Arabidopsis thaliana: one gene and its partners. The protein of the gene in region 1 interacts with the protein of each later gene in a pairwise test. Each region holds a gene or a part of one and is shown in the gene's direction. Other genes may lie near its edges.

The links. Proteins that work in one complex are often made in the same cells at the same time.
Region 2: the proteins of UFO (region 1) and SK14 interact in a two-hybrid assay, tested with the Arabidopsis thaliana proteins (3 studies listed by BioGRID).
Region 3: the proteins of UFO (region 1) and SK11 interact in binary tests that used the Arabidopsis thaliana proteins (3 or more experiments, as listed by UniProt).

The regions. Positions count from the first base shown.
Region 1 is NC_003070.9:11,032,854-11,038,848, forward strand, and holds UFO (F-box family protein), read left to right. Parts: upstream 1-3,138; 5' UTR 3,139-3,326; coding exon 3,327-4,655; downstream 4,656-5,995. Other genes in the region: AT1G30960 (GTP-binding family protein), read right to left, coding at 4,902-4,986, 5,073-5,212, 5,306-5,480, 5,575-5,733. UniProt on the Arabidopsis thaliana protein: Component of SCF(ASK-cullin-F-box) E3 ubiquitin ligase complexes, which may mediate the ubiquitination and subsequent proteasomal degradation of target proteins. Considered as a meristem identity factor required for normal growth of the young floral meristem.
Region 2 is NC_003071.7:959,711-963,284, forward strand, and holds SK14 (SKP1-like 14), read left to right. Parts: upstream 1-1,597; 5' UTR 1,598-1,611; coding exon 1,612-2,061; downstream 2,062-3,574. Other genes in the region: SK19 (SKP1-like 19), read left to right, coding at 1-537; AT2G03180 (uncharacterized protein), read left to right, coding at 3,054-3,416. UniProt on the Arabidopsis thaliana protein: Involved in ubiquitination and subsequent proteasomal degradation of target proteins. Together with CUL1, RBX1 and a F-box protein, it forms a SCF E3 ubiquitin ligase complex. The functional specificity of this complex depends on the type of F-box protein.
Region 3 is NC_003075.7:16,377,262-16,381,041, forward strand, and holds SK11 (SKP1-like 11), read left to right. Parts: upstream 1-1,741; coding exon 1,742-2,200; 3' UTR 2,201-2,267; downstream 2,268-3,780. Other genes in the region: AT4G34215 (carbohydrate esterase, putative (DUF303)), read right to left, coding at 2,942-3,133, 3,341-3,780. UniProt on the Arabidopsis thaliana protein: Involved in ubiquitination and subsequent proteasomal degradation of target proteins. Together with CUL1, RBX1 and a F-box protein, it forms a SCF E3 ubiquitin ligase complex. The functional specificity of this complex depends on the type of F-box protein.

The DNA.
Region 1 (5,995 bases):
TATTTTTTCCTTACAATGTTTTTTTTTGTCTTTCTGTATTTGATGTTTTCTTCATAATAATTGCATTTTCTATCCCTCTCGAAAATTAGTACCTCAATCAAATTGATCTCAAGTCAAGTTCTGGACACAACTACCTTTTATCTTTTTGAATTTAATGTTAAATTATATTCAAAATAAAAATAAACGTTTTTCTTTGAATTTAACTCTATTTGTTTTCTTTTGGAAAGTTGATGAGTGATTGTCGGTAACTATACTAAAAATGGTTTTGCATTTTTCTATAGGTGTGGTATGCCTTGGTACGTGGAGGAAACAAGTTAGACACATAAGCACATATGTACTAGACGCAAATAATGTCACAAAAACGGTTTAAAATATCTGGTTTTCAGTTTGCATGTCGTACTTATAACCGAACGTGTGTAAAGTTCTCATGTCATATACCAGTTCTGTTAAACTAATGAAATATGTTCAGAGGTTTAACCACTATAACTATTAGACCCGATTTCAATTAATCAAGAAATATCCAAACTTTTTAATATATGCATTATGCTTTACAAAATTGTTTGATCTTCTAATGATGTAAAGACATTTACAAAATATAATTATTTAATTGATTCTAACTAATTTGTCCGCGCATAACGCTGGCCGTAAACTAGTTCTTCTTACAAATTACAATATCAATTTCCACTTTGGGCCGGAAATTTATATCCATAACTCTACTACGTACCAATTAACACATGTGTGTAAATAAAACTACATAATGGCATGAATGGAGTTTCGAATCAGTTAATGTGGGCGACAAAATAAAATCAGATTATGTTTTATTATTAAGTTTAGAAAGAGATGCTTCATTAAAAGTTTATGCTTTAATGTTAAATCAGACTATTTATTATGGGTACGACTTGTAAGCGTAATTCAAAGTTAAACAAAACCTAGTTGGGAAATGGGAAGATAGATGATTTGATAAAAACAAGACACTGTTTGGTTTCAGAGACTTCCTTTAGCATCAAAACACAAACAAAAGCGAAGCCTCTTGAGTTACTGCAAATAGAGAATATTATTACCCTTTTGCGACTTGTCAGCTTCAGATATTCTCACTTGTATTATTATTTTCACGGTAAACAATGCCTTAAATAAGAAACCCTGATTGGACTTTTGATCTGACTCTACTCTTCACTCTTTCTTCTTCTTTATTTTCAGTCATGATGTCTCTCTAACCCTAATCTCAAAAAATCCAAACTCCTTTTATTTATTTCTAAACCTTGATTATAGCTAGCAATGATTAATATAAGAATTTTTTTTCTGGATAAAGAATTAATTAGAAATTGAGTTGTAAATGTTTTGTGATGTCTAAAATTCTTTTGTTTGCAAATTAGATGTAAATTGATATATTTGAGATTTGTATGAAAGCTAGTTTTATTTTCCCTAAACAAGAAGTTCATTATCTTGGACTTGGAGGTTTTAGAGTTTGAAAGAGTTTACAATTTATAAGAAAAAATAATCACTATATATATATATATAGTGTATATAATGAATTGTTTCACATTAAATTGCAACAACATCAAATAAGGGTAACATACTAACATATAGTTTGTTTGTTTACTCTTTAAAAAAAGGGGATAAACTAAGAGCTATTTCTGCTATAATTTAGGAACAAACTGGATCACATGACAAAAATGCATCATAATTCATATTAAATTTTGTGTATATCTATTTCTCATGTTTAGAAATAACATTCTTGTGTGTTATACATGTTATCAGTTTTTCTTCCTAGATGGAAGTTTTATTGTTGGAGTCTTTTAAAACCATACTCACTATGTTCCTCTTTATTTGATGTTTTGGATTTTAGATAGAAATTAATAAAAAATATGTTTTCTATTTTTATAAAATTATTTTTTTGTTAGTTTAGTAATTTTATTTTTCTTTTTTTATTATTAGTCACAAGCAAAAATAATAACAATATTTTTATAAAACATTAATTTTGGTCGAACAAGTAAAAATAACTCAAAACATCAAATAATTAGAAACTAAAAAAGTAGATATTGTCAAATTTTGTGTTGAGTTCGAATAAGATAATGTGGTCTCCTCCAACAAAATTATTTAGAATAAATGCACTTCTATGACATTAGAGAACCAACTAATTTATTTAGAATAAAACACACATATATATTAACATATAAAGTAATTCTAATTGGCTTGATATAATATATAAGTAAAAAAATGATCTTAATAATCTCTAGTTTTCTTGGGTTGATCTCCACGAGTACAATTTGACTGACCATTATAGAAGTTGAGAAGCGTGCATGTAATAAAAGTTGTATATTACAAATTAGAGAGGAAAAAGAAAGAAAGAAAAAAGATTTGAAGATGTGATCAAGTGTGAAAAGTATTGGAGTAGTCTCCAAATTAATAATTTCGATGCTGGGCATTGACAAGATAACTCTGAAGCTCTCAACTTTAAGACCATCACTTCCTCTGCCACCATTTTCACGTTTACCCAAACACACACATATACAAACAAAATTTTGTTAGTCAATAATTATCACCAAACTGGGGTTATAACAAGGCTTTTGGATACTTGTGCTTGTTGATGTTCTAGGTTCGTATGATAACAAAGTACATCCGTTATATATATTCGAAACACACTTTAATATTAAAAATATATATCCAATTTTCTTGTGAAATTTAGATTATTTGGAATTAAACCTATTTCTCTTGTCTTGGCCACTTGACCGGTTTAGTTTTTTAGACGTATTTTATTATTTCTGTTTAGAAAATAACAACATATATCAACTGATTTTTTACTTCCAATCTCTTTTTGTCAGCACACAAATAGAAAAACGTCTGTAAGCTAAGCTATCAACTAAAACATTAACATATATAATCTTTTACGTTGATAGAAAATAAACATAAATTTCTGAGTTATTTTTTTTTTGGTTGGTGTGTCACTACTTACTTACTACTATACCTTTTTAACAATAAAGAAACACTATTTCTTTTTCTATTCAATATAATATATGTTTTCTATTTGTATAAATCCATTACCTTTGTTTGTTTTATACCAAATGTTCTTTATATATAAGTATATGCCACCTTACTCTATTGAAGTCAAGAACATATCAAAAACCCATGCAAGAAGCTCACAGAGAAAGACCAAACACTTTTGTCTCTTTCTTCAAAACTTTTACATATGATCTTTGCCTCTTTTCCTACAATGGGTTTTGCATAACTTTCACCAAAACCCTCCTCAAAAGCCCTTCACATATTCCCAACACAAGAAAATAAACTCTAAATCCACTTTCACCAAATCTTTTCATTTTTCAGCTAAAATGGATTCAACTGTGTTCATCAATAACCCATCTTTAACCTTACCTTTCTCTTACACATTTACCAGTAGCAGCAACAGTAGCACAACAACGAGCACCACCACAGACTCAAGCTCCGGTCAATGGATGGACGGTCGGATTTGGAGCAAGCTACCACCTCCTCTTCTTGACCGCGTCATTGCTTTTCTTCCACCTCCGGCGTTTTTCCGGACACGTTGCGTCTGCAAGAGATTCTACAGTCTACTTTTCTCCAACACCTTCCTCGAGACATATCTACAACTACTTCCTCTCCGACACAACTGTTTCCTCTTCTTCAAACACAAAACCCTAAAGAGTTACATTTACAAGAGAGGAGGAACAAACGATGATGATTCCAATAAAGCTGAAGGCTTTTTGTTTGATCCTAATGAGATCCGATGGTACCGTCTCTCTTTTGCTTATATCCCTTCAGGGTTTTATCCTTCAGGATCATCAGGAGGGTTAGTGAGTTGGGTCTCCGAAGAAGCTGGTCTTAAAACCATTCTCTTGTGTAACCCTCTTGTCGGATCCGTGAGTCAGTTGCCACCAATATCAAGGCCAAGGCTTTTCCCTTCGATAGGTCTCTCGGTAACACCAACCTCTATTGATGTTACTGTCGCTGGAGATGATCTCATATCTCCTTACGCTGTGAAAAACCTCTCATCGGAGAGTTTCCATGTCGACGCCGGCGGATTCTTTTCCCTCTGGGCGATGACTTCTTCTTTGCCACGGCTTTGTAGCTTGGAATCTGGTAAGATGGTTTACGTGCAAGGCAAGTTTTACTGTATGAACTATAGCCCTTTTAGCGTTTTGTCCTATGAAGTTACTGGAAACCGGTGGATCAAGATTCAAGCTCCGATGAGGAGATTTCTCAGATCTCCAAGCTTGTTAGAGAGCAAAGGGAGGCTTATTCTTGTAGCAGCTGTTGAGAAAAGCAAGTTGAACGTTCCCAAAAGCCTACGACTTTGGAGTTTGCAACAAGATAACGCCACATGGGTCGAGATCGAACGGATGCCTCAGCCGCTCTACACACAGTTTGCAGCAGAAGAAGGTGGAAAAGGATTCGAGTGTGTCGGAAATCAAGAGTTTGTAATGATTGTGTTAAGAGGAACCTCGTTGCAGTTGCTGTTTGATATAGTGAGAAAAAGCTGGCTGTGGGTCCCACCGTGTCCTTACTCCGGCAGTGGTGGCGGTAGCTCAGGTGGCGGTTCAGACGGAGAGGTCTTGCAGGGTTTTGCTTATGACCCGGTGCTTACTACACCGGTGGTTAGTCTTCTTGATCAGTTAACACTTCCATTTCCTGGAGTCTGTTAGTTTTTAGACTTTAAGATAAAGAGACTACTTGTGGTTTCCACTTCTGACGTTAAGACTGCTTGTTGTTTTCTCAAAATTCTGTTTCTTTTATCTTATTACTGTCTGTATGTAGTAAGTTTATATTTCTAATGTCAAATGTCTAATCTTTGACAACATGTCAACAACATATACAGACAGATTTCTAATTGCGTACAATCCAATCCTAAATCCATCAAACTCAAAAACATAACCCTTGGGAGAATGGTTTCACTTGAGCTTAACCTGGAGAATGAGATGAACTTTGCGGTTCATTATTCTCCTGAGTTCTTCATTGGCCTCAATTCCTATCCTCCTGCAAAATTAGCATCAACATAAGATCATCCTTGAGTCATTGATTAGTCAAAAGAATGAATTATGAACGATCTTGTATGCTCTTACCCGATCTTGCAACCGCCCTTGCCTACAAGAATCTTGCGTTGGCTAAGTTTAGGAGTGATGAGATGCTGTTCAATTCTAAGAGACCCGTCACGCAGCTCTTTCCAGTCCACTAGACGGTGCTCCAGACCATATGGTATTTCCTACAATTTGTTTCAATCAATCCTGTAATTTGTCATCTTGGAATAGACGGAAACTGATACAAAATGTTATACTAGTAGAGGTTGTATTATTACCTGATGGACATGGTCTAGTAATCTCTCCCTAACAACTTCAAGAGAAATGTTCTTCAAGACTTCTTCACTCATCGTGAATGCATCTTCTTCCCATGGTTTTTTAACAGCCTGATCCATTAAGTATTGGGAAAGATCTTTCACTCCTGATCCCTTAAGTCCCGATATCATGAAGTATCTAGAAAACCAAACAGGGAAAAAGCACATTTCAATCAATTCGAAGACTTCCCCGGTAATTGTTTTTAAACTGAGTCTGGTATATATATATCCACCTTTCATATGCCGGAAGATCTTGGAACTCCTCAGCAACCTTTAATAGATCCTTTTTCTTCTCAACCAGATCAACTTTGTTCATACATAAAACGCGCTTTTGTTTCGGATTTTCTTCTTCTCCCATGTATTTGATCAAGCGTACCACTCTTGAATCGGGACTAGATAAATCAAAGAGAAAACAGAATTCACAAACTACAAAATAAGTCTAAGAGAACTCTATTTCTACTTGTAATTAATGAAAAACCACAGTCATGATGCCTTCTTCAAAAGAAAGAAATAGATGTGTCTTCCCATCGGTTTACGGTTCTCAAGCTTATGGATAATCTCGGAGAGATGAACAAGATATGAAAGATATCGAAACAGAGAAGCTAGAAATAATAATCCCACCCTAAGATACCCCACTTGATGATGATGCTCATA
Region 2 (3,574 bases), on another chromosome or scaffold:
GCAAGAAAACTGCAGATCGTAGGACACATTATCGAAGACGACTGTGCTACAAACAAAATCCCTATTCCAAACGTTACCGGAGAGATTCTCGCCAAGGTTATCGAGTACTGCAAGAAACACGTTGAAGACGATGATGACGTGGTGGAGACGCATGAATCATCGACGAAAGGAGATAAAACAGTTGAGGAGGCGAAGAAGAAGCCTGATGATGTGGCCGTACCTGAATCAACTGAAGGAGATGATGAAGCTGAGGATAAGAAGGAGAAGCTTAATGAGTGGGATGCAAAGTTCATGAAGGATTTCGATATTAAGACGATCTTCGACATTATTCTGGCTGCTAACTATCTCAACGTCCAAGGTCTTTTTGATCTCTGTAGCAAGACCATTGCAGATTACATAAAAGATATGACGCCAGAGGAAGTTCGAGAACTCTTTAACATCGAGAATGATTTCACACCTGAAGAAGAAGAAGCAATTCGCAATGAAAACGCTTGGACTTTTGAGCAAGATGGAAAACAACAAGTTCCAAAACCCTAGCTTTTTGCTTCGTTTCTTTTTTCTTTTTTCCTTTTACATGTATGATTTGTTTCTGTTTTCTCAAGTGTGTGTGGGATTGATTGGTCTCTTTAATTTCGTTGTTAAGTCTTTCTTTACTTAATTGACCAATTTTCTTGCACTATTATGATGAATGATGATCAATAAATATGCTTTAGCTTTAGCTATCTTTTAGAGTGAAGCGGATTAAATCTCAACTAATGAATCGTCCACCAAAATTATGAAAAAATTAAAGAGAATCGTCCACCCAAATCCTCCGGCAATTCCGAATTCTTTCTCCGGTTGTAACGTAGTAAAAAAAAGTCGCCGCCGTTAAAAAACTTCCTATTATTTTCTCTTTTTCTTAAAATTATTAGTTCGTATGAATCAAAGTTTTTCTTTTTTTCTTTTCTTATGCTAGTTATCAAGAATTTCTTATATACAAACATGTATATATATTTACGAGGTTATTTATGATTTTTCTTAGAACAATTTATTTTTTTATGTACTGTTTTGATCGAGGCTCGAATCTAGCTAGATCAATAGAGATTATTTAATTTGAGATTTACTCTTCTAATTAGTAGTTATTCAAATAAAAGTAGAAAATTAAAACCTAATAAACTAAAAGAACGCAACTGATTACAAAACTTAATTTATAGACTCTTATCCTATAATTAGATTAATAATTAATCAATTAAATTCAATTCTAAGTAAGATGGACAAATTAATTAAATAAATAAAATGTCATACAAAATTTTCATAGAAAATAGCCATGTTTAGGAAAAAAACTCTTTTTGTATGTTAAATAAGTTTCTAGAATCTCCTGATAAACTCTTTTACTAAGACGTCGGTTTTTACTTTTAAGCCCAAAAGTTTTAAGGCTAAACACTAGAGATTTGGAAGATTTGCTTTTCTTCTCTTCCAGTATTGTGAAAAGGAAAACACAATTGACCGACTCTTAAAATATTTTATAAATAGACGCCTTCATCGACTCCTCTCTATTCCATTCAATATCTTTGCATAAATCATAACCAATATTATTCTTTTCATCACCCAAAATCTCAAAAACGAACAAACATGTCTTCCAACAAGATTGTTTTGTCTAGCTCCGATGGCGAATCTTTCGAGGTTGAAGAAGCGGTGGCAAGAAAACTGAAAATCGTGGAACACATGATTGAAGACGACTGTGTTGTTACCGAGGTCCCTCTTCAAAACGTCACCGGAAAGATCCTCTCCATTGTTGTCGAGTATTGCAAGAAACACGTCGTTGACGAAGAAAGCGACGAGTTCAAGACTTGGGACGAAGAGTTCATGAAGAAATTTGATCAGCCTACGGTCTTCCAACTCTTGCTCGCTGCTAACTATCTCAATATCAAAGGCCTTCTTGATCTCTCTGCTCAAACCGTTGCAGATCGCATCAAAGATAAGACTCCAGAGGAAATTCGAGAAATCTTCAACATCGAGAACGATTTCACACCCGAAGAAGAAGCAGCGGTTCGCAAGGAAAACGCATGGGCTTTTGAATAGACACCAAAACCCTAGTTTTTGGTTTCGTTTCTTATTGTCGGTTTTAGGGTTTTGATGACTTTCGTCTCTCTTTTTTTTTTGGTTTTCCATATTTCGATTTCGTGAATGATTTTATATTTTGGCTTATTCAAGTGGTGTGATTGATGACTTTGATTTCGTTGTTAGTTCTTTACCTTACTCTCTATTATGGTGATCAATAAATAGATGCTTTAGCAATCTTGTTCGTTTTAGAGTGAAAATCGAATCGTCCACTAAAAACCTCCGGCGATTCGGAATCTTCTCCGGCGTAGAATAGAACATAATATCGCCGCCGTTCTCTTTTTTTTGTTGGGAACTAAATGATTGGCCCTGCCTAGGGTTTCTCCGTATCTTTGAATATCCTTCTTAATTTGTTTATTAAACTATATAATAGCGATAAGAAATTACTATTTATTTTTAGGCTCCTATTTAATATTTATATATAGTTATACGTACAAAATAATTTAGTTTATATTATTATTATTTATTTTTTTCCTTTTCCTTCCCAAATCTAGGATGGGAATAAAATACTTCGTTTTAATATTCTTTTTTTTCTTTTCGGGTTGATAATTGAGAGGTTAAGATTTTCTTAGAGCGATTTATTATTTTATGATATTAAAATATACGGACGATATACTGAAAGAAAATTCATGCGAGAGGATGTTAATATGCAAATTAATACTATTCAGTTGAATTTTGCCATGCAATCTTTTTGGTCGTAAATTTTGTTGAAAACTTATCCAATCTCATATGAAGCGTCCCAAGGCCCATATCAACACTTATTACGTAGAAAACATCATAAAGCGAGAGAAAAAGAGAGAGAGGCAGAGAGATAGGAGCGTATGGGCTTTCTTTTTTGTTTTGTCAAACAACTTTAATTTACTTAAAACCTAAAAGAGGGATGTTCATACAAATAGAAACTGAAAAAAACACAAAAGGAGGAGAGATAATGGCTCCATGAGTTTTTCAAAAAGATGCTCATCTTTAAAGAGTTTGCAAAGATTAAAAAATCTGTTGAAGCAAAAATTGGGTTCGCCCATAAAGACAGACTTCACAAATTCCTCGACCACCATGTGGTTATAGATGGCTCGAGCGAACAACGCATACAAGCTTTTAAGAAAACGTTCCACGGAAGAAGCTGCCGGATAAGAGAGATTGTCGAAGATTCGGTAACTACTTCTCCTTGGAGATGCAGTCAAAATGCCGTTATTCTTCAAACTTTGAAAGGTTTGCAAATTGATCAAGAGCTTGTCGAGCCTAAAGAGTTGCTCACCTTAAGAATTACTAAAGATTGCTTTATAATCCTAGAAAAACCACCAATCGCAGATGTTGTGTAATGTCATATACATGAGCTCAGAATTCAGAGGAAATGGATTTAAAGGATTGAGAAAACTTCGGTAATCATCGTTCCGTAAAGACGGGCTCATAATGCTGAATTTCTTCAAGCTTTTGGTTTCATGAATTAATTTCCGTAGAGAAGGAGCGTATGGCTTAG
Region 3 (3,780 bases), on another chromosome or scaffold:
ACTAGTAAACGAGGCCATACACTAGAGGGAGAGCCGCACTTTTTAGTATTTGAAAACAAATTGAAGACTTCAAATTTAAATTGAATTGGACTTTCTTTTTGAAAAAACTCGAGAGTTTTAGTTTTCAGGGCAAGTGATTTGTTTGTGTCAACTTACACACATGTAAATACATCAATTGTGAGGAGGAATATTTGAAAGGATATACTGATGGCTGTGACGTAAGTATAATTTATTGCACGTGAAAGATTTGCTTAGTGTGTCTTTGCAACTGCTTAGATGCATTGTTTTTGGTAGGTCGACCTGTTGACACCCCCCGTATAGTATTCAACGCAGCCGCGCGTGGATGGGTGTACTGTTGAATCTTCGTATATCTTTTGGTTTATTTTGGTTTACTCAACTGAAATTACCTTTTATGAAAAATGAGTCGACAATTAATTTACTTTTTTTTTTTTTTTTTCATTCTTTCATTTTAACCCAACCATGGTAAAGTTACAACAGCATAATAAAACTCATATAAAGGCCCAGCAACATAAAATTACTTATTTCTTTCAGTTAAGGAAAATAAGTATTTCGTTATTTTTTTAATTGCTTTTTTTTTTAGAAACAATAACTATCTATATATACATTTTTGCAGCCACTTTAACAAATAAATCTTCACTTAGCACTTATTTACTATGGCATGCCATTGACATTTATTATTTTACTAAACTTATTTTTAAATATAAATATAAAATCTATTATGTTACTAAAATTTATGAAATTAAAAAAAAAAAAAACATTTAAATCTTTCCAATTAGCATTAATCACCCTGATTTTTCGTTTTACATCATTTATTTTCAGTTAATAAAATGAATCAAATCTTATATTACAATATATGCTTTAATATTTTCATTAAAAAAATAATTGCGTAATAAAATTTGAAACCCTAATTATTTCTCAATCAACATTTTTCGTTTCAATTGTACTAAATAATTTTGCTCTTTTTTGGCAAAAATAAATTGTACATGTATTAAGTTGATATTGCAGATTCAAAAAATATTAACAAATGCCTAAATTTAGGTTATTAAAATAAAAAATAGTTAGTTAAAAACACAAGTATATCAATCCCAAATTATGATTAAATTAAATATTTATTTATAATAATTTTTACCAAAAAATAACATTATATATATTAAAATTTTTGAAGTACTTTTTAAAGTACTTTTGTGTTAGTAAAGTAAGAATTTACAAAGAATGTCATCACATTAAAGTCAAAAACAATTATTATTTTTAAAGAATATTAGTGATATATTTTACCTTTATGAAACATTATTAATATTTAAACATAAAAAATTAAAATATCATGAGACGGGAAGTATAGCAGAACGGGTTTGGATTGATAGGAAATACATCGAGACGGGTTTGGATTGATATAACACAGGTAAAATATTTATTTTATTATTTTATCATCACTAATTTTTTTAATTACAAGATTAATATAAAATTATATAACTTTATTACTAAATATAAAATTATAAAATTTAAAATTATTATATATATAAATAAAATATTTGTCCGTAGTGTACCACGCGTTGAATTATAATATGTTGTTGTCACCGACTCTAGCTAGGGCTTATAAATACAAAGACGCATAGGGTTTCACAACTTCATCACCTTAACACAATTTGTTCGCTCTCTAAATTCTTAAATCTTTCATCAAATTTGCTTCACAGTGAAAAACCTCCTCCACAAGGAACACACAATGTCTTCGAAGATGATCGTGTTGATGAGCTCCGATGGTCAGTCGTTTGAGGTGGAAGAAGCGGTAGCAATCCAATCGCAGACCATAGCGCATATGGTTGAAGACGATTGCGTTGCTGATGGAATCCCTCTTGCAAACGTGGAAAGCAAGATTCTTGTGAAAGTGATCGAGTACTGCAAGAAACACCACGTCGACGAGGCTAATCCTATCTCTGAAGAGGATCTCAACAACTGGGACGAGAAGTTCATGGATCTCGAACAATCCACCATCTTTGAACTCATCCTTGCTGCGAATTACCTCAACATAAAAAGCTTGCTTGATCTCACATGCCAAACTGTTGCGGACATGATCAAAGGCAAGACTCCAGAGGAGATTCGTTCAACTTTCAACATTGAGAATGATTTTACACCTGAGGAAGAAGAAGCTGTTCGTAAGGAGAATCAATGGGCTTTTGAATGAGCCCATGAATCAAAACCCTAACTAGCTTTCTTTTTCTTTTTTTCGTTTTTTAGTGTTTTCTTTTTAACGTCTTGATCGATTATGATAACTTTGTCTACATCTTTATTATGATTTGTGTTTCTTTTTATGAGAAAAAAACTTGAACCATGAATGACTAATCCGTAGGAAAGTTATCGGCCATGTCTATTAGTAGTTGCAATGTAGATAATAATGTGACAAACGGAAAGAATATTATGTGTGCTCTACATGGATAACAAATTTACATATAATCAGTACCATCGTCCATCACTTAGACTGCATATCACCTCTTGGGAGATGTAGACAAACAAACATTAAACTGCTAGAACACACTGAAAATACCACAATTTCTCACCAATACCCGATCGTCAACCTGACAAAAACAATTATCCATCACCAATACAACATTAAACTTCTCTATGGTTTTATTTGACTTTCTAGTCTATGAAATATACTTATGTATAGTGGAGTGCAACGATATCATTATTCGTAACTTCAATTGATCCTAGAGTTATAATGAACGAAGGACTAAAACAGAGCTGCTAATAATATTTTAGATCGATTTCAGAATCCACCAGTATCTAGAGCAAACTAATTGTTCTTCACTATGAACATCAATGTTTTACCAATCCATTATTACAAAGTTTTGTGATATCCATATAACTAGTCCACCACACACATTCAGAAAGATTCATGAACCTTATCACGAACTTACTTGATTGTCTAGCAGAAGTTGGAAAGGTAAGCTTGAGCTAAGGAGAGACCAAGCTGGACTTGAGCCTCGGTGGTTAAGTGAAGATTGTCGGACTTTAGCGGCAATCCCTTAGCATCTACACAGACCACATTCGACAGTTTCAGTCCCAACTGTGCTTCTCTCACCTTATCTATGTATCCTCCTCCCGATGCTATTGCCACCTGCTTCAATCAAAACCATCAAGATTAACCAATGGAAATCTGACCTACCGATTTCTAAAAGACAAAATCACTTGCAACAACTGATATGTACATTGTAAAAGCCTAAAATTACATAATCTGCAACTTAACTCTTTCACCAATAACACAACGTCACAACCTATGTAGATGTGACATTGGAAGCTAAAATCGCACAAAGGATAGAGAGACCTGAATAATGGGAAGAGAAGGAAGGTTGAGATCATGACGGAGGTTCTTAATCAAACGATCCATATTGTTCCCGTAGCTCTCGGCGTCATGGATGTCCAACACGTCACTCTCTCCTTGATACCACAACACCGCCTTGATCTCTCCGCCGCATTTCCTACTCTCCTCCGTTCTCTTGACCATCCTCTCGTACAAGTGGCTTCCACGCTCCCACTCTTTTATCGCCGTTCCACCGGAAGCGCACGGCACCAACCCGATCACAGCCGAATCTGTTTCCAGGCGATTCTTCACCGCGTTAGCGAACGCCATTCCTGGACCTACTCCACACACTTTACCTGTGTCAATGTCAACGTGTAGTGGCTCGTGTGCTTCTTCCCACCGGAGATCTGCGGACAGGCGGAGGATCGATGAGTTTGGTGCGCATTCCGGTGGAAGGATTTTAT